Linked DNA regions of Canis lupus familiaris. The protein of the gene in region 1 purifies or fractionates together with the protein of each later gene. This does not show direct contact. Links are inferred from orthologs where the notes say so. Each region holds a gene or a part of one and is shown on either strand. Other genes may lie near its edges.

What was found.
Region 2: the proteins of CDK9 (region 1) and IMMT purify together in Homo sapiens (affinity purification with mass spectrometry; 3 studies listed by BioGRID, with this or other methods). This does not show direct contact. The link is inferred for Canis lupus familiaris from reciprocal best matches to the Homo sapiens genes CDK9 and IMMT.

The regions. Positions count from the first base shown.
Region 1 is NC_049230.1:55,700,252-55,710,881, reverse strand, and holds CDK9 (cyclin-dependent kinase 9), read left to right. Parts: upstream 1-3,625; 5' UTR 3,626-3,693; coding exon 3,694-3,785; intron 3,786-4,244; coding exon 4,245-4,326; intron 4,327-5,127; coding exon 5,128-5,218; intron 5,219-5,564; coding exon 5,565-5,731; intron 5,732-5,853; coding exon 5,854-6,025; intron 6,026-6,182; coding exon 6,183-6,331; intron 6,332-6,818; coding exon 6,819-7,184; 3' UTR 7,185-7,738; downstream 7,739-10,630. UniProt on the Homo sapiens protein: Protein kinase involved in the regulation of transcription.
Region 2 is NC_049238.1:39,245,695-39,256,495, forward strand, and holds the start of IMMT (MICOS complex subunit MIC60), read left to right. Parts: upstream 1-5,443; 5' UTR 5,444-5,571; coding exon 5,572-5,616; intron 5,617-10,801. Other genes in the region: MRPL35 (39S ribosomal protein L35, mitochondrial), read right to left, coding at 1,549-1,591. UniProt on the Homo sapiens protein: Component of the MICOS complex, a large protein complex of the mitochondrial inner membrane that plays crucial roles in the maintenance of crista junctions, inner membrane architecture, and formation of contact sites to the outer membrane.

The DNA.
Region 1 (10,630 bases):
AGCAAAGACACCTGGCTTTGAATCCCAGCTCCATAGCTTCCTGGCTGTGTGGCCTTGGACAGGCCACTTCACCTTGCTGAGCCTCAGTTTCCTCTTCTGTAACTTGGGCCCAATACGAGCAACCTCCTAAGAGGGGCACTGTAAAGCTCCAGGGAAATGACACCTATCAACACAGGGCTGAGCAGAGTCAGTACCCAGCTGGTGGGGGCAGAACGTCCATGGTGTACAGAGCTGCTAGACCACACTGCCCTCTGTCTGGTCTCTCCCTACCCAGTGCCCCTTTGTGTCCAGCAGCCAAGAGCAGCCTACCTGTGAGCCTATTTTCTGCCTCCCTTCATATGCCCCCTACTCTGTCCCTGCTCAGGAGAGGAAAACAAAGGTCTGGGCCAGAGTCAAGCAGCTGGCCAGTAACCCCCTCTTCTACTCTGTGCCTCAGCATCCCTGTCACAAGGCAGCAGGACCAGAGGCTCTCACAGAGTCTGGTCAGTCAGTTGGCAAACATTGACTGAGTACTGGCCACATGCCTGGCTTTGCCAGCTTAGCTGGTCCACGGAAGCAGGAAACATTTTCCTCAGACCAGCAAATCAGAAGTCAGAGTCAGTGACAAATCATTTCCAACTAGGACCTAATTTGTTCATACTTCCACCTGGGTGATCCAGGACCCCATGCCTGGGCAGTGTGGTGGGCAGGCTTCTAAAGGGCTCCTGATGGCTTCTGTCTGGGAGGCCAAAGCTCTGAGGGGAAGTGACAGGCGGATGTTGGGGTTCAGGCCAGGGATGGTAGGGTGGAGGTGACAACATCACCGGAACATCTGCTGAGGCCTCTGCCCACAGGATGTGATTTAAGGAGGGCTCGTGGGAAAGAGGTAGGGGCCCCAGCCTGAGGGTCTGATGGTGGAGACCACCCAAAACCATGGTACATCCCCAATACTGCCATCCCCTCCCATACCTCCCATGGGCATCCAGGACACCTAGGCCAGTGGTACTGTGTCCTGGCTGTGCCCTAGCTCTCCCCACAGCCCCAGTGGGTGGGGTCTAGAGTGACCTGGTTTAAATACCAGTGTGGCTGCTGGCCAGCTCTTTGACCCTGGCCAGGTGATGTTACCTCTGAGTTCCGATGTCCTTACGTGTACAACAGAGTGATTATATTACCTACCTATGAATGAGAATTGAGAGGATTCTTGTAAAGTGCTGATGGTTGGCTTGGACCATTTATTTTCCTTCAACAAATTGTAATGACTACAATTATTATTGTGCTTTCCCTCCTTGCCCTCCCTACCTGCAATTTAGCTACCAGCCTCCCTGTTTCTACATTAGACCCATGAAGCAGATCCCAGATCACCTCGACAGGTCTCTTGACTGCCTAAAACCCTCGATGGCCTCACACTGACCTCAGGAGGGGGCTCCCTGCTGGTCGCCTGAACCTCAAGGTGTCTGTTGCATGGCCCTCCCCCAAAACAGAGACTCTTGGGATGCCAGGATCATCAGAACCTGCTTCCTTCTACGAGGGCTGGAAAGCCAAGCCATGGGGGTTAAGAGCTACCAGGTCACCCTGAGGGCTTCCTGAAGAGACAGGTAATGGTGTGCCACTGAGGAACTGCCTTCCAGCTCTGAAGGTAGGAAGGTCCAGGGAGTTAGCAAAGCGCAGGAGGGAGATTCCTGCCACTGGGATGGAGCTGGAAAGAGCCTCAAGTGTCACAATTTTGATTTTCCTGAAGACAGTGGAAGAGGGAAATACCTCATTTTAGAAGGACCTGGAAGGTGCTGTAAGGAGGACAGATGGAGAGGCCAGACTGGGGAGAGTAGGACTCAGGACCCATCAGCAGAGGACAGACTGAAAGGGTGCAGAGGTGGTAGAAAGGTCAGCTTTGCTGTGGGTTGATTGTTGAGTAGAGCTGGAGGAAGAATCTAGAGGCTCCTGGAGCCTGGAAGGTAGCAGGAAAATGAGGAGGAAGGGTTGGAGTCGGGTCGGAGGAGGAGATGGGTGGAGGGCTTGGTGGCTGACATAGGGACAGCAGGCCTCAAACCGCACCATTGCTCTACCCTTGGCCAGACTGTAGATAGCCTTGACTCGGGAGAATCCTCTTCAGAATCAGACAGACCAGGGATCCCTGGGTGGCGCAGCGGTTTGGCGCCTGCCTTTGGCCCAGGGCGCGATCCTGGAGACGCGGGATCGAATCCCACGTCAGGCTCCCGGTGCATGGAGCCTGCTTCTCCCTCTGCCTATGTCTCTGCCTCTCTCTCTCTCTCTCTGTGACTATCATAAATAAATAAAATCTTTAAAAAAAAAAAAAAAAAAAAGAATCAGACAGACCAGGTTCCAGTCACAGCGCTGTCACTCTGTGACCTTGGGCAAATGACCTCACCACTCTGAACCTCAATGCCCTCTTCTGTAAAATGGGCTAGTTAACCTGCCCATGGGGCGCCTGATTGAGGATTCAGCAGGATTCAGCAGGAATGCCCAGCGATTCCTGAACACACAGGAGTTCTGAGCAAATGCTAGCCATTTTTGTGATTACTGACCCGGGACTGACCCGCTCGGACGCAGCTGGGTGGGCATAGGGCTCCCGCGGGTCTCATCCCTTCCTCCCAGAAAATTGGGGGTCCAGGGCAGGAAGGCCCGGGCGTTGCTCGCTCGCCGTCTCCAGTGTCGCCGCGCCCCCTAGCGGCCGTCGGTTGCCATGTCAACGGCGGGCGGCTGGGGCCTGGGGAGGCGGCGGCGGGGGCCGTTCTCTCCTCCCAGGACCGGAGGCCGCTCCCTCGGCGCCTCCCGCCTTTCCCAGCGGAGGGGCACTCCGAGCCGGGGAGAGGGCTCTCCGCGGCAGCTAGCATGGGGGGGTAAACTGAGGCACGCGACAAAGCGCTCCGCAGCCAGGTGTCGAGCTCGGGGCCCCACCTCCGAAGGCGGAGGAGGGGCCGCGGGCGGTGACGCGCCGAGGGCGGCCGGCGGACAGCGGGCGGCGGCGGCGGCGGCGGCGGCGGCGGCGGCGGCGGCGGCGGCAGGTGCGGCCGCGGAGGGTGGGAGGGAGGAGGGAGGGGGGCGGGCGGAGGGGGAGGGGAGGGCGAGGCCAGGGCACCTCCCCCTTTATAACGCGCCCCCTCCCGGGCTCTCGGGCCACCTCCTCGTCGGCTCTTCCCATCTCGCCCCCTTGCCCGGCCGCCCCGGGCCCGGGCCCGGCCAGGGAGACCCCAGGCCGCGGCTCGGGGGCCACCCCCCCGCTCGCCGCCCCGCGCAGCCCGGCGGAGGCGGCGCCGTCGGAGGAGGAGGAGCAGGGCACTGCGGCTGGCCCCGGATCGGGCGCCAGAGCGGCAGCGGCTCCGGCAGCAGCGGCGGCCCGGGCCGATGCAGCGGGACGCACCGCCCCGAGCCCCAGCCCCGGCGCCCCGGCTCCCCGCGCCCCCGATCGGGGCAGCCGCCAACAGTGGCGGCGGCGGAGGCGGGGGCAGCGGCGGCGGCGGAGGCGCCTCTGCAGCTCCGGCTGCTCCTGGCCTCCCGGGAACTACAAGTCCCAGGGGGCCTGGCGGCGGGCGGCGGACGGAAGAGGCGGGGTCGGCGCCGCGAGGCCGGAAGTGGCCGTGGAGGCGGAAGTGGCGCGGCCGCGGAGGGGCCTGGAGCACGGCGGCGGGACCCGGAGCGGGAGCAGCGGCGGCGGCGGCGGCTGGGGGCGGCGGCGGCGGCGCGCTGGAGGCGGCCATGGCAAAGCAGTACGACTCGGTGGAGTGTCCCTTTTGTGATGAGGTGTCCAAATATGAGAAGCTCGCTAAGATCGGCCAAGGCACCTTCGGGTAAGGCTGCGCCCCCGGGGGACCAGGCGCTCTGGGCCTGCACCGCTCAAATCCGACGTCACGATGCCCAGGGCCGGGCCCGAGGTGGTCGGGAAGGCCATGAGCGCCAGACGTGTCCCCTGGTTTTGCTAGGCCGCGCTGCGGCCCGCCTGGGCCTGACCGAGCCGGCTGGCGGGGAGGAGCCTGAGGCCTGTGATGGGGGGCGGGGAGGGGTTACGGAGAGGAGCCAGTGGTGGGAGCGGGCTCTCCGAGAGACGCCTGAGTGAGGAGACTGAGGGGAGGAAGTAGAGGCTCGAAGCTCCGCAGATAGCGGGTGGCAAGGTAGGGCAGTGCCCTGGGTCCCCGGCCCAGCCCCGCCCGGGGAATCCCTTTTTTCTGCCCCCCTCCTCTGGTGGGGGAGGGGCGGGCCCTGCAGAAACGGCCTGATAAAACCTCTTGGGTCTCCCTCTCGGCCTGCAGGGAGGTATTTAAGGCAAAGCACCGTAAGACCGGCAAAAAGGTGGCTCTGAAGAAAGTGCTGATGGAGAACGAGAAGGAGGGGGTGAGTATGGGCCGGGTGGGCGGGCCTGCCAGCTCCCCTGGGCTCGGGGTTGGGTTTCCACCCTGCTTCTGCTAGGGCTCTCGTCTGGAGAACCTGTGTGTCTGTGTGTTGGGGGGGGGGGGGTAGTTAGGCAATTTCCGTATTCGGGGAATTTGGCTTCCAAATTGAATTTTTTAATTCAAATGTTTTAGAGCTTTTGATATCCCACTCTTAGGTAAATACGGTTGGGGCCAGGAGGGGGAGCTCATGCCTGCAGAGTGTGCCTTAGTTCCTGAAGTTAGGAAGCCTTTAAACACGGTTTCCTTAGCATTCATTTTGCATAAGGCGGAAAGAAATTCCACTTGGTGGTTTTAAGGGAGTGGCTGGTACTCAGTTGAAAAGGAGCAGTCCCCTCCCTTGCCTCATTGTAGCCCTAGTCCAGCTTCCCAGAGACCTGCTTAGCAAGGACATTTCCTTAAATAGCTGTTTGTTTCCACCTAGTAAGTTAAATACAGGTATAGAGCTAAAACTTAAATATTGAAGAAACTGTGGAACATTTATTTAGTGACGAGTAGTGAAGTGTGTAGGTATTAAGTCCCACTGTTTCAGTTCATTGTCTCAGAGCAACTCATTGAGGGGCACATACTATTTTTACACCCATTTTACAGCTAAGACATCTGAAATGATGTCAGAGCCCGGGACCTTACTCGTTTGCTGCACCTGTGCCCCTTGATCTGGACCACACGGTTGTTCATTGGTCTGTTCATTGGTCTATAGTTGACTCGCTCACCTCAGGCCCCCTCTTGCCTTTCTCCTACCCAGTTCCCCATTACGGCTTTGCGGGAAATCAAGATCCTCCAGCTTCTGAAACACGAGAATGTGGTCAACTTAATTGAGATCTGTCGAACCAAAGGTAGGTTCTTTGGCTCCTGCCCCCCTTTACAGATGGGGAAAATGAGGCTTACTGCCTAAGGCTTTGCAAAGTTGGAAGTGGACACACCTAAATTGCCTCTTCTTAACCCAGACAAACCGACTGTGACTGCTCTTGGGTCCTTCCATCGTAGCTGTTGCTCCTCGAGGGCCTGCCACAGCACCCAGCCCAGAGGAGGCACTCAGGAAATAGTTTTCCAGTGAAGGAAGGCACAGCCGAATATCCCAGTGTCCACGGGCTGGAGGGGTAGAAGCTGTGTGGGGAAATGAGTTGCACGTGGGGTTTTTTACTTTCTTTTTCTTACTCCTCCCCCATTCTTCCCTCCCAGCTTCCCCCTATAACCGCTGCAAAGGCAGTATATACCTAGTGTTTGACTTCTGCGAGCACGATCTTGCTGGGCTGCTGAGCAATGTCTTGGTCAAGTTCACACTGTCTGAGATCAAGAAGGTCATGCAGATGTTGCTCAACGGCCTCTACTATATCCACAGAAACAAGGTGGGGGTCAGCATGGGGTAAGAGAGACCCGGGCTGGGGTGGGCCTCGGCTCCCACCGCTGGGTGGGTGCGACTGAGGGTTCCCCTTGGAAACCTGATTGAGCCCTCTTGCGCTTCCTGCAGATCCTGCACAGGGACATGAAGGCAGCTAATGTGCTCATCACTCGCGATGGGGTTCTGAAGCTGGCCGACTTTGGGCTGGCCCGGGCCTTCAGCCTGGCCAAGAACAGCCAGCCCAATCGCTATACCAACCGTGTGGTGACGCTCTGGTACCGGCCTCCGGAGCTGTTGCTCGGTGAGGACTCCCGAGCGGGCGGAGTGGGGCAGGGGCTGGGCACTTACCCGGCCTCAGTCCCCCACTGCCAGGGCTTCTTGAGCCGCCGGCCCTGGGGCATTGCGTCTCAGGAGGCCCTCGGGCTCAAGGGGCCCTCCTGGTGCGCTCTTCTTCCCAGGGGAGCGGGACTACGGCCCCCCCATTGACCTGTGGGGTGCTGGGTGCATCATGGCCGAGATGTGGACCCGCAGCCCTATCATGCAGGGCAACACCGAGCAACACCAGCTTGCCCTCATCAGCCAGCTCTGTGGCTCCATCACCCCTGAGGTGCGTGGCCAGGCTGCCTGGGCCCCTGGTCCCCACAGGACGCAGAGATCCAGAAGTCCTCCTGGCAAGGGAGGAGTGGGGAGTGAAATAGCAGGAAAGTTCTGGAGAGGTGGCTGGTGGAGGGACAGGGGCTGCTCTTTAGAGTCGCATGGGCTATGCTTGAGTCTCACTTCCATCACAGTTCATGGCCCTGGGGAGGGCGTTTGCATCCCTCACCTCGGAGCTGAGTTTCTCTTCCGTGAAACAACTATGCCTGTATCAGGCTTGGTGGACATATTTCAGATGACCACGTAAAAGGGCCTGGCGCTTGGTGTGTGCCAGACATGTGGTCACTGCTGCTTCTACCTTGGAGAGGTCAAATTCACCCTCCATGGGTGGTCTGGGAGCATCTGAAAGGAGAAGCTGTAGTCCCTTCGGGTGCCTAACCAGGGGACAAGCCACACACCCCCTGAATTAAGACCGTCTTCTTCCCGTGCCTCCTGCCCAGGTATGGCCCAATGTGGACAAGTATGAGCTCTTTGAGAAGCTGGACCTGGTGAAGGGCCAGAAACGGAAGGTGAAGGACAGGCTGAAGGCCTATGTGCGTGACCCCTACGCGCTGGACCTCATCGACAAGTTGCTGGTGCTGGATCCTGCACAGCGCATCGACAGTGATGACGCCCTCAACCATGACTTCTTCTGGTCGGACCCCATGCCCTCGGATCTCAAGGGCATGCTCTCTACCCACCTGACGTCCATGTTCGAGTATCTGGCGCCGCCACGCCGGAAGGGCAGTCAAATCACCCAGCAATCCACCAACCAGAGCCGCAATCCTGCCACCACCAACCAGACGGAATTCGAGCGTGTCTTCTGAGGGCCGGCTGCCCACGCTTTTCATTAGGGCAGTTTCATTTCTTTTTCTGCTCTGTGACTTGCATTGTGGAGATTGTGGGGCATTTGAGTTTTCTCTAGTGCTTATTTCATTTACTCCCCACCCTGGGCACTGGGAATGCCCGCTGAGCGGACTGGAGCAAAGCTTTGGCTGAAAGTCCAGGAGGGCGCTGAGGCCCCTCGCCTTGTTCCCTGGCTTTCAAGATGATGCCCAAAGGTTCTCCGTTTACTTTCACGCAAGAATGGGATAGGAGGAGAGGCACACCCCACCAGTGACTTTCTGAGCATGATGGGAGGAAGGGACAGGTCCCTTGCCTGTTGCCAGCCCTCCTCTCGGGATGAGAAACTTGTGTGGGGGACAGAAGCAGCCTCAGGAATGGGCTACTCTTGGCCCAACCCTCAGAAGCCTGGGGTTGGCAAAAACTTGGTTTCTTCAATAGAGAATTTTATCGTGTTTCTTTTGTTCAGTTTGGAGACATTCCTGGACGCAGTTTGGTCAGTTATAATTAAAGTTGACTTTTTTTTTTTTTCCAGTAAGTGGCTATGTGCTGTGTTCTGTGTTCAGACCCCCCCAGCTCTTAACCCTGTAGCTGGCACATTGGGTCTAACCATCGAGATTGGATTTGTCAAGTCTTGACTCTTTTCTTCATCCCAGTTCATGTCCCCAGACATAATTGCAGAGTACTTTTGTCTGTTGGAGGGTTTGTGTGAGTGTGTGTGTACCTTCCAGAACACTGTTGTCATGCTCCTGCAAAAGCAGGTGCTGTGATGCTCTTTTGCTCTCCCTGTCCACTTGGTGTCCAAGGGAGAGTAAAGACACATGAGGCAGGATCTTAGTTCCCCAGAGAGAGGGAACTGGGGAGGGCCTGCTGTGAGCTGCATCTGCAATGGTGAATCCATGTCCCATGGCTGACAGAAGTGCTCAACCTTGACTCATGAGCACAGAAGGCTGCAGAAGGCTCTCGATCAAAGTGACAAGAGTTAGATCTGTAACTTGCAAAGGTCCTTCAGGCTGCTGAGTAGTTGGTGGCCAAGGGGAGGCAAGAAAGGACCAGAGCAGTTGAAGGATCTCCAGGGGCTTGGGGAGGTGGCAGTCACTGGGGTTAGAATGGTGAGCAGGCCCCAAACAGCAGTGGGAAGGTTGGCATGTCTTGCGACAGAGCTGCAATCGTTGGAGGAGAGCACATTTTGGTAGATACTTCCCTGTGAGTCTGAAGCTGGGGACAGGCACGCTTAGGGCAAATTCTATATTCTGTCACAGGAGGATGTCTTTTGAAGGGGGGCCCCAAAGGAAGTTGGGTAAAACTTACTATCGTATCTGTCCCTATAGAAATTGATCCAGATCTCAGCTTCATAAAAGGCCAGAGGTCAAAACAAAAAAACCTTCTTTTTTCTTTTTATTTTTTAAGGTTTTATTTGAGACAGAGCACAAGCAGGGGGAATGGGAGAGGGACAAGTAGACCCCCGCTGAGTAGAGAGCCTGATGCAGGGCTTGATCCTAGGACCCTGGGATCATGACCCGAGCCGAAGGCAGATGTTTAACAGCCACCAAGGCCTCTTGACTAGTGTTTTAGTTTTGGGGGGCTGCCATAGGAAATCACCTAACCAGATTGGGTTAACATTATAATAACATATAAATAACATATTTATTCTGTTACTGTTCCAGAAGCTAAAAGTGAGATCCAGGTGAAACCCAGGTGTCAGCAGGGTCTATCAGCAGAACTCTGCAAGAGAATGTTCCATGCCTTGTCTCCTTAGCTTCTGGTGATGGCTGGCAGCCCTTGGCCTTCCTTGGCTTATAGATGAACCTCTCCAGTCTCTTCCTCTGTCTTCACCTCGTGTTCTTTCTTTTATGTGTGGCTATCTCTGATGAGGACAACACTCAATGGATTTAGGACCCATCTTGATCCGGTATGATCTCATCTCGACCAGCTACATCTGCAAAGATCTTTTAAAATAAGGTCACATTTTGAAGTTCCAGATGGACATGGACTTCAATCCAAGTCAGTATAGTTAGTAAGTAATCAAATCCATATGGAAACAACTGCAAGTTGTCCTAATGGTTATTGAGTCAATAGTTTTATTTTAAAATGATTTTTAATGAATTCCTTTGTGCATGGGGTGGGGCCGGGGGGTGGCTGAGGGAGAGAATCCCAAGCCAACTCCACACCCAGCACAGAGCCCGGGGCGGGGGCCCTTGATATCACAGTCCCAAGACTATGACCCAGGTGGAAACCAAGAGTCTGACACCCAACTGACTGAGCCACCCAGGCACCCTTGGAGTCAATAGTTTTGAATGACCTAACATGGAAAACAGGGCTGGCCTAAATTGTCAGAGGTGCGTTTTTTTTTTTTTTTTTTTTTTTTTTTTTTTTCTCTCTGAAGGAGATAGAAAGCTGCACTGCAGAGGCTCTTGTTCTCTGACCCAGCAATTTCTCTTACAGAAGTTTCCACTGCTGAGGTACCTGTGTGGATCAGTCGGTTCAGACTCTTAGTTTGGGCTCAGGTCATGATCTGAGATCAAGCCCCATGTTGGGCTCCATGCTCAGCGTAGAGTCTATTTGAGATTCTCTCTCTCCCTCTGCCCCTCCCACTCGAGCTCTCTCTCTAAAATAGATGGAATCTTAAAAAAAAAAAAAAAAAAAATTTCCACTGATACAGTGACAGTCTCATTGCATCCTCACTACCAGCCTGATTGTTTCATTCCTTTGTTCAGCATGAATTGTCTGTGTCTTCCAAGGACCAGACTTTTCTGAACCCAATACAGCTATCAAGCAGTGGCCACCCCCACCTCTATGGAACTCACATTCTAGTTGGTTCGAACTAGTCTGATGGGATAAATTGTGTGGCAAACAATAAAGTGGAATAGTGGGGAAAGGGTGGGAGGGGCTTAGGGTGACACAGGAGCAGAAACCCCGAGAGAAATGGGACGTGGGGAGGGGTCGGGTAGAGGGTGGCACAAGTGCCAGGACCCAAGGCTAGGAAGCTTTCAGAGAGCCTTGTGCGGAGGGGGACATGCATTTTATTTTTATAATTTTTATTTATATTTTTTAAAGATTTTGTTATTCGTGAGAGACACAGAAAAAGAGACAAGCAGAGACAGGCAGAGGGAGAAGCAGGCTCCACGCAGGGAGCCCGATGTAGGACTCCATCCCGGGTCCAGGATCATACCCCGGGCTGAAGGTGGCACTAAACCGCTGAGCCACCCAGGCTTCCTGTGACATGCGTTTTAAAAGGTCAGAGTGTCTCTGTTGAAAGCTGGACGCAGGGGAAACAGGGCTGTAATAATCCAGGCATGAGGCGATGAGAGCCTGAACCAGCCTGGTAATGCGGCTGGTGGTAAGTGTGTCAATCTATGTGATGATGCTATGAGGGTAAGTGTTTTCAGGTTGGATGAGTGAATGGAAGGAGTCCAAGAGTCCCGGGCTT
Region 2 (10,801 bases), on another chromosome or scaffold:
AACTTGGAGCCCCACTCGGGGCTCAATCCTACAACCCTGAGATCATGACCTGAGCTGAAATCTAGTCTGATGCTTAACCGTCTGAGCCAGGCAGGTGAGCTTGGGGTGACTTTAAAGAAGCACATCACTTTCACAGTATCAGGCAATGTTGAATATACATATATTCTGATTCAGCAATTCCACACCCCGTTTTATAAGTGTACACACACACACACACACGCACACGATAGAGAAACGTTTGCACTCATGTACCTGGACACAAGGAAAATCAGCTTTGGATCTCTAATCACCCCAAACTGAAAACACTGAAATGCCCAGCGTTCGTAAAATGGAGAATTGTAGGGTGGTCGAACAAGAGACTATTATATAGGAACAAGAAACCACTACAGCTACACCCAAAATGAACAAATTTCACAAATTAAAAGACACAAGAGTACATACTGTATGATTCCATTCATGTAAAGTACAAAAACAGGAAAAACTAAACAATACTAAAACTAAAACTAAACAAAACTAAACTTAGAGATGTATATATAGATGTTAAAACTATTAACAGGAAAAAAAAAAAGGCAAGGTTAACAATCAAATGAGGCTACTATTTACAATTAGCAGAAAGAGGGAATTTTGATGAGGAGAAGCACAGAGATGGAGAAGAGGTTCCTGGTAGTGTTCTGTGTCCTGCCTTGGGTGTTTGCTTTAGAATTATTTGTTAAGCCACTTGTGTATGTCACATACATTTTTCTTTAAATGTTATTTTCACAATTTAAAAATACCCCACGTAAACATACTCTTCTGTAACAGGTGGAAATTTTTACATTGTAGTGTTTTCCTTTATTTCTATTCTTCTTCCACAGGATTTTATCCTAATTTATTTTGCCTTTAAGTGATTTACTGACAATCTTATCATACTTAAATAATATTTTTGCAAAAACTCCTACAATTTAATCGCCTTCACTCCGTTAGTTAAGAAAGAAATCCTCCGGACCGACTGCCCCTGTGCCGGGGGCTGAGAGGCCAAACAATCGCCCGTTTCCCGCACCTCGTGTGAATCTCCTACACGCCCGCTTGCTGTGTGCCAGGCACTACGCAGAGCGCTCTACACGCTCGAGCTCGGTTACTTCTCAGGTACACGGTATCGTCCTCGCTGTAGAGCTGCAGAACCTGAGACTGAGAAATTACTTCAAGGCCAAAGGTCATGAGTGGCGACTCCTAGCCTCTCAATCAGAAGGTTAGCACGGACTTTTCTGTCTCCTTCACTCACCCCCCTCCGCCCCAGTCCGTCGGGCCCTCTTTCTGGCTAAGGCAGAAGGACCAGGAGCCACTAAGGAAGCGGAAACCTGGGGACACACGTAGGTCCGCGAGGGTCCACGAGCGTCCGCGATGTCCGATGCGACCGGCCGAACACGGGCAGCCCTGTAGAAAATTCATTACAATCCTCTGGCCTTTATTCCCCAGTTAACCTCCACGCTCACGCTAAACGCCTACTCCATCCTACACCAGTCCCGCCTTCTGTGAGGGGCTAAATCCAGCGCGCAGCTTTCTACTGACCTGAGGCGGCCTTCACGGCACGAGCAAAGACAGGGGCCGCCATCTTGCCACCCCGCCCTACGGCAGCCGCATTGGGATCTAAAACTCCAGCGCGAAAGGAAGTTAAGGAAAAGGTATGGGTGGAGTCTAAGAAAAAAAGAAGGAAAAAAAAAAAAAACAAAAACGAAAAAAGTAACGGTTAAGGCAAGTTTTATTGAATGTCTTCTATATGCCAAGCAGTTCTTCACCGCCTATGAAGAACAAGTACCTATGTACTGTGTCTGGCATTGGGTAGGCTCTTAAATTTTCAGTGAGCATTTGACATCTAAAGTACACAATTTCAAAATAAATAAATAAATAAATAAATAAATAAATAAATAAATAAATAAATGTTACACAATTTCATTTTGCTCATTTTATTAACTTTCAAAAAATAACATATTCCTTTCAAAGCTGCTAGATGTTAGGCTGCATGAATGGGACATAGCAATATTATTAAAATTTTTTAAAAATTGAATGCCAATCATAATTAAATGAATGTACATGTCCTAAGGATATCACACACACATAGTTTCTTCTAATCATTAACACTGACTGTCATTTGGTAGAACAGCATCTCAATCCTTCCTAAACAATTCTTATGTTCCTTATTTTATTGATAATTAGTGATCATACATTTTTCCAATGTTCACTCAAACAGAAAACAAATCTCTAACCTATCCTTGTTGGTTAAGATTCCATGCATATACAATAAATGACACCATATACTGATTGAAATGAATAAGGATCAACACTGGTCTCAAGGAGTTCACCTTTAATGAGACAAGTGCAGAACATAAATACAAGACAGATGATTCACAGGAGCAGTTCGAAGTTAAGGAGAGAAGGCATTCTGATTGAGATGATGAGGGAAGAGAATGTAACACAAGTCTTAAAGAATGGGATGGATTTTAACAAGAGCAAAGTCATTCTTGGCAATAAGAACAGGAAGAGCTAAGATGAGAAGACAGGGAGCCAGGACAGAAAGATACAGGATTTTATATAGCAGTGATTCTCAAACCTTTTGGTCTTAGTACCTCTTTACATACTTAAAATCTGAGGACTCCAAAGAGCTTTTAATTATATTTCCAATTGCTCCTGTAACAAAGTACCCCAAACCTAGTGGCTTAACACAACACAAATTATCTTACAGTTCTGTAGGTCATAAATCTAAAATGAGTTTCACAAGGCTAAATCAAAATATCCAGGTCTCTGTTCCTTCTGGAAGCTGTAGAGAAGAACTTGTTTCCTTGCCTTGTCTAGCTTCTAGAGGCTGCCTGTATTCCTTGGCTTATGCCTCTTTCAATCTTCAGAGTCAGTAATCACATTCCTCTGACTTCTGCTTCCATTGTCACATATCCTTTTCTGACTCTGCCTCTCCTGTCCTCATCTTCTACTCAAATGGACCCTTGTCATTACATTGGCCCTATGCAGATAATCCAGGATCATCTCCTCGTTGCAAGAGTCTTAATCACATCTGCAAGGTTCTTTTGTCATGTAAGGTAACATTTATAGGTTACAGGGATTAGGAAAATATGCTATGTTCAGGAATAATTATTCTGCCTACCATACTTAGTAAAAAACTATGATTTTCATAACAAAAATACACTCATGAAAAGTAACTCTCCCCCCCCAAAAAAATACTGAGAACAGTATCATTTCCTAACTTTTTCTGCAAATCTCTTTATTTTTTTTTTAAAGATTTTATTTATTTATTTATGAGAATGCACAGAGAGGAGAGAGAGAGAGGCAGAGACGCAGGCAGAGGGAGAAGCAGGCTCCATGCACCAGGAGCCCGACGTGGGATTTGATCCTGGGTCTCCAGGATCGTGCCCTGGGCCAAAGGCAGGCGCCAAACCGCTGTGCCACCCAGGGATCCCGGCAAATCTCTTTAAAGTATGGTTTAGTAGCTGGATTCTGAAATTTGCTTATGCATTGTCTGTTGTTAATTTCACTTGTCACCTAGCTTCTGGAAAAATTCTACTGTAAAATTATGAGAAATGAGTGAAAACAGCTAATAATATCTTAATATTATGAAGGTAGTTTTGATTTTTATGGATCTTCTGAAAAGGTCTCAGACTCCCCAGTGGTCCCCGTTCACATTCTGAGAACCAACTGAGGAGAGTCATATCCTTTAATTCTTCTGGGTTTTAGGGTATGTAAGTGGGTGATGAGCTTTGACTACTATCATTGCTTTCTTAATCTCCCACCTAAGATGGCTAAATTGAGCCTTAAACATATTCTCATGTATTGAAAAAGTACTGAGACATTTCACAAATACTCTTTGAATTGATAATGGAAGTCCTTGCACATTTTTGAACAGAGGAATGATTTAAATTTGTATGTTACTTTGGGGGAGTCCACTTCAAAGCAAAAAAAAAAATCCATAAATTGCACGTGGAGGATGAAGATTAAGGATTTGGTTAAATGGGAGATGAGGAAACAACAAAAATTAATTTTGGAGCTTGAGATTTGGAAGCTGAAGTTGGTAACGATGTTCAGGCCCAGGATGTGGCTGGGCCACACACGGTTAGGGTAGATTTTTTTTTTTTTTTAATTTATGATAGTCACAGAGAGAGAGGCAGAGACACAGGCAGAGGGAGAAGCAGGCTCCATGCACCGGGAGCCCGACGTGGGATTCGATCCCGGGTCTCCAGGATCGCGCCCTGGGCCAAAGGCAGGCGCTAAACCGCTGCGCCACCCAGGGATCCCGGTTAGGGTAGATTTAAATTGCTTATTTGATATTGAGAGGTTTATGGCCAAGATATTAGAAAACTCATTACACTGGCATCACCCCGTATAACAGAACAGCAGTGGGCAGGGACGGGGGGTGGGTGGGAGGGGTTGGGGAGACTGCAATTTAATGCTAAAACTACTTTTAAAAACGGGAGACTGCTTTGGGGGCTGTTAGGTGATGGGGATATGAAATTAGAGAGCGTAACGTAATTTTTAAAGCACCCTGAAAAGCAATGAATATATACGGACATAAGTATTTGATTTTAGGTAATTTTCAAATTCCTTTCTCCATTTTACAAGTGGGATTAGTATCATACTGTGATACCACCATATTGTAAAACACCGTAACTCTAGGAACACCATGCTGTGATAAATAGCCTAGTTAAGACCTAAAAGCACTTAGCAAATGCAACGGATATACACGTTATTCAGTTTCTTTTGATATTGTGATGGTACGATCATTATTAGTAATAACAGTATTGAATACTGTGTTCAATATTTAACATACTAAATCTTGGTTACAGACTCCGTGGAATACTCTGAAGAGTTTTTCTACACTGATCTCCTTAACTTCCGACGCATTCCATCAAAATTATCTTTGTAAAAGGAAAACGTAGTGGGAAAATAAGTGTGGCTTAAATCTAGGAGTAGAAGCGGTGGAACCCGAAGGATGTGGGTTTCTATCCCTGCTCTGCCATTTATTAGATGCGCGAACAACGCGTTCCGCACAAAGGTCTCTCCAGTGTTCGTCCTCCCAATCTCCCATAATCAGGATGACTCCCTGAAGAAAGGCTGTCAAAGCAAACAAACACGCAAACCAAAACACCATTGTTTACGTAACTTTCGCCAAACCGTCTGCTTTCTACGAAATACCCAGCTGACAAATGCGGCCGGGATGTTTTTTTCCTTGAATTCTTCGACGAATAACATCTTCTATCCGCACTGATCAAAGCCCGAGTTTCGCGCTTCCTCTCACCCTCCGGGTTCACCTACTAACCCCTTCTGGCGGATACAGACCAGAACTCCGAAGGCGACCCGGAAGGAGAAATAGCCTTTTCCGCCCGGGGTCGGTGCGGGGGGGGGGCGCCTCTCCGGGCGGCCTGGGCGGGGTCGAGAAAGGGGGCTGCGCGTGCGCAGCGGCGTTTGTTGCCCTTCCGGTAGGACCGGCGCGGAGAGGCGGCACGGACGCAGGGACGTACGCACGCTCTCCCTTACTAACGCCTCCGCGGCAGCTCCCTCGTACGCCAGCCGTGCCCAAGCCCGGCCGAAATGCTGCGGGCCTGTCAGTTATCGGGTGTGACCGCCGCCGCCCAGGTGAGCGCGGGGGCGCTGGGAGAGCGCGTGGTGAGGCGGACTCCGGCCAACCAACGGAAAATGGGAGAGGCTTTCGCTCTGACTAGGCCCCGGGAGAGAGGCGTGTTTCGCGGCCGCCCTCATCGCGGGAGTCCTGGGCCGACCCGTGAAGCAGTTGATTAGGGGGTTCGCCCGACTGGGATGATTTGAGGGTTATTGCTGTAAGCGGGATGGGGTGTGGAGAGAAGGTGGTGGGGAGGCGGGCGCAGGACCGTCAGCGCGGCTTCGGGGACGCGTCGTCCAATCAGCGGCGCGCTGCCCCAGGCAGGGACCAATAGTGGCTCTGGCGCTCGGGTTGCCGGTTGGGCTCGTGATAGGTTTCGCGCAGCCAGTGGTTGAAGGTCGCGGGGAGAACTACAGTTCCCAGCAGGAAACGCCTATAGCCTTGGCTTGTTGCATCTTTAATAAGGAGGTGTTGGGACTGTTAGAGTCCACATTTTAGGGGTCAAGGTTGTAATTACTCGGGAAGGACCTTCTTTTTTGCAGCTTAGAGAGCCTCTGAGGTATTCTTACTCTAGACAAAAAATGAGAGATTGTAGTTTATGAAGTAAAAACTCTGGGTACTGAGGAAGAACAGGAGTCATGACCTTGTGCTCATTTCTGAGGTTAGCTTGGGGATGTATTTCTCCAGGTGCTGGGACAACTTTGGCAGACATCCAGGAAGCCTAGACACCCAGTGACTTACATCTGCACGCTTGTCAAAGTACTTTTCTAAAGTTGGAAATAAACTTCTATTTCTATTGTTCACAGTTTTCAGAATTATTGATATGTTGGAAGATGTATTGCACACCAAGCAGCAATTGAACAAAATCTCTAGTCAGAGTGAGTGAGAAATCATGTCAGGCTTTTTTTTTTTTTCCTTCAAGTTTGCTTGTCTCCCTACTTGTTGCCAGGATAGAAGCAGCTTTTGTAGGCAAGTAGGGTCTGTATTAGTTCTTTTTTGATGCATAACAGGTGTCACACACTTAGCAGCTTAAAACCGCACCCATTTATTCTTAGACTTTCTGGTTATGAATGGTCTGGATTCTTTGTTCGGTGCCGCACAAGGTTGCAGTTGAGGCATTGACTGCTGTGGTGCTCATCTGGACCTCAGAGTCCTCTTCCAAGTTCATTTTGGCAGAATTCAGTCCCTTGCACCTGAGGAACCGAAGTCCCTGTTTTCTTTCCTGCTGTCACCTAACTCTCTTAGAGTTTGCTCCAAGTGTGTTGCTCAGTGACATGGATGTTTGCTTTCTTGTAGGCTACCAGGAGCTTATCTCTTTGACTTCAGAAGTCTCTCTTAACTTTCCTGTTTTTGATCTCTAGATCAGCATGTAAAAGGCTTTAAGATTAGCCTGGCCCACCTGGAAAACCTCCCTTTTGATTAACTCAGAGTCACCTGATGAGTTACACACCTGCAAAATCCCTTTTGTCTTGCAACCCTAATCATGGGCTTAACAGGGTGGAAATTGTGTGGGCCATCTTAGAATCCCTCCTAATGTAGTACCCAAGTGGGACTAGAACTCTTTGAGTGCAGAACTCTTGGTTTGTCTTCAGAGCTCTCCTTTCATGGAACACTCTTGTTCTGCCCTCAGATTATGTCATGGCTGTCACCAATCTCCTTGTCTGCCATAAAATCTAAAATTTTTCTACTTTTTCCTTCCTTGTCTTGATGAAAACGCTTTCTACTTATTGGGATTCCAATTAGGAAGTTAGAAGAAAACATTAAAGCTTCACACTAAAATATGAACCCTTTTCTAGCTTGCATCCGCATTTTCTTAGGGTCTCGAAATTGCGATCTTGTAAAAATTCATTGGTTTCTTCTCATTTTGTAGCATTTGATATTGTTGCTTTGTGAAGCTGTTTTTGCTTTCTGGCTTTTCTTATGTAGTATCTAGGGGCTCTTTATCTTTCTCCTTTTTCCTTTATTGAATCTGCTACTTGTACCTCGAAATATATCCCCAAGGTCTGACCTCTCTTCCCATCTCTCTCTTTTTAATTAAGACTTTTTATTTTTTATATTTTGAAGATTTTATTTATTTATTCATGAGAGACAGAGAGAGAGAGAGGGGCAGAGACCTAGGCAGAGGGAGAAGCAGGCTCCATGCAGGGAGCCCAATGTGGGACTCGGTTCCGGGACTCCAGGATCAGGCCCTGGGCTGAGGGCAGGCGCTAAACCGCTGAGCCACCCAGGGATCCCCTAACTAAGACTTTTTAAAGAGCAGTTTTAGCTTTGCAGCAAAATTGAGGGGAAGGTAGAGATGTTCTGCCCCCACACATGCTTGCTTACCTTCCACCATTATCAACATCCCCCACCAGAGTGGTGCATTTATTACAGTTGATTAACTTACATGGGCATATCATAATCACCCAAAGCCCATAGTTTACATTGGGGCTCACTTTTGGTGTTGTACATTGTCTGGGTTTGGACAAATGTATGATGACATATGTCAGTCGTTACTGGTATCTTACAGAGTATTTTCACTGCCTTAAAAATCCTCTATTCTCCACTTACTCATCACTTTCTTTCCTCTCCTCGCAACCACTGATCTTTTTATTAACTCTTTAGTTTTGCCTTTCCAAAACGTCATATAGATGGAATCATACAGCGTGTAGCCTTCTCACATTGGCTTCAGTCGCTTCATAATGTGCATTTAACTTTCTTCCATGTCTCTTCATGGCTTGACAGCCTTCTTTTTTTTCTTTTCTTTAAGCATTGACTAATATTCCATTGTCTGGATGTACCACAATTTACCCATTCACCTACTGAAGGATGTCTTTGTTGCTTCCAAGTTTTAGCAGTTGTGAGTGAAGCTGGTCTAAATATTTCATGTGTAGGGTTTTGTGTGAACATGTTTTCAGCTCTTGGGTAAATACTGAGGTGCATGATTGCTGTATTATATGTTTAGTTTTTGTAAAAAAAAGTGTCAAACTGTCTTTCAGAGTGGCTGTACCTTTTGCATTGCTAGCAGTGATGAATGGGAGTTCTTGTTGTCCTACATCCTCATCAGCGTTTGGTGTTGTCAGTCTTAGGGACTTTGGCCATTCTGATGTATGTGATAATCTCATTGTTGCCCCATCTCTTTATATACTGTTACTTGGGATTATATCAATTCTCAGAACTTTCATCCCCAGCAGATGGTTCTTTAGATTCTTTTGAGCTTTCTAGTCAAATTTTCTTTTCCTTGTTTGATTTTGTCAACTTTATCCAGAATATTCTACTTGTCAAAATCTTTTCCATTCTGTCAAGCTTCATCTTCTTTGATGTTTTCCTGCTTTACTATTGCCCTTTTAGAGTCTTCTGGAATTTTTTTTTTCATTAGGATTGTAAAAACTGTTACTCATTACTCAGCAGTAATGTCTGCCAAGTATACATGGTAGAAAGTACTTTAATATATCATTGCTCTTTGCTTTTATTGGTGTTAGATCATTTTTTATTATTCCTTATTTTCATCTTTTTAGGCCAGTGGCTTTCAAGCCATTTTGGAATATTTACATCGTAACTTAAGACATGCAAGTGGGAATATATGAGTAATATATATTCATACATGTATGGAGGGAAAACTAAAGTATTAAGTTCCTTCTTTTGCCATATTTAATACTTGCCATTTGCTTGTTGTAACTGAAGGGTACGTTTTCTAAGATAGAGATCTGTGTCTTTCTTTCTTTTTTTTTTTTTTTTTTTTAAGATCTGTGTCTTTCTTGAGAGATAATACTGCTTCAATGCCAAACTTCCTGGATTTTTTTTTTTTTGTGTGTGTGTATATATAAACATATATATGTATATATATTCTTTTTTAAAGATTTATTTATTCATGAGAGACAGAGAGAGAGAGAGAGAGAGAGAGGCAGAGACACAGGCAGAGGGAGAAGCAGGCTCCATGCAGGGAGCCCGATGTGGGACTCGATCCTGGGTCTCTAGGATCACGCCCTGGGTCAAAGGCGGCGCTAAACCACTGAGCCACCCGGGCTGCCCTGTGTGATATATTTTTAACCTTAATTCATAATTCTTTTATTTTCTTTTATTTTTTAAAGAAGATTTTATTTATTTGAGAGAGAGCGTGTACTTGCACACATAAGTGGTGGGGAGGTGCAGACTCCCCACTGAGCAGGGGGCCTGACTCCCGTCTTCATCCCAGGACTCTTAGCCAAAGGCAGACGCTTAACTGACTGAGCCACCCAAGTGTCCTTTAATTCATGATTCTTATATTTTAAACTAGCCTTTGAAAAAGTTGTCACATGCTAATGTGCGTTTCAAATGTAGAAGTAGGTGTTAACTTCTAGGTGTCTTTTGTTTGTGTGTGGGGAGTCCTTGTGACAAAACCCACCAAAACATGGTCAGTTATAGCCATTGGCAAAGTCTATAGGGGAAACCTGGAACCTCCAGAATGGGGTTCATGTGAGGAGATATTTATTATAGTCTCTTGTTTCCAGGTTGTAATGCTAGAGTTTGCTTGCTTGCTTGCTTCCTGAAGATTTTATTTATTTATTTGACGAGAGAGAGAGAGAGAGAGAGAGAGAGAGAGAGAGAGAGAGAGAGAACTGGGGGAGTGGCAGGCAGAGGGAAAGAGAGAAGCAGCCCCCCCGGGAACTTGATATGGGGCTCAGTCTCAGGACCCTGGGATCATGGTCTGAGCCAAAGGCAGACACTTAACCATCTTAGCCACCCAGGCACCCCTAGAATTTGGTTTCTTTTTGTATGTTTACCTTAGTTTGGAGCTAAGGAATAGATGGTTTGTGCAAGAACATAACATGGGTGTTGTATTTTTATATTTTTTGTTTTTATTTTTATTTAAAAAATATTTGATAGAGAAAGCACAAGTGAGGGAAGGGACAGAGGTATAGAGAGAGGGATAAGCTGACTCCTTGCCCAGTAGGTAGCCCGACATGGGGCTCTATCCCAGGACCATGACGTGAGCCGAAGGTAGACCCTTCACCAACTGAGCCACCCAGGCACCCTCTTTTTTGTTTTCAAAAATCATGTTTCTATAGGTTAGAAGCAGTAATCCTAACCTTGCAACATTGATTATAAAATTATGTCAAGGCAAATTGCTTTGAAACAGTATAGTTCTTTCTACATGATAGGTTATTATTAATTAAAAGCTATTCCAGAATGAAGAAGTGTGTTAAAGTAGGGTGTTTAGTTTATATAAACAAAGAGATTAGC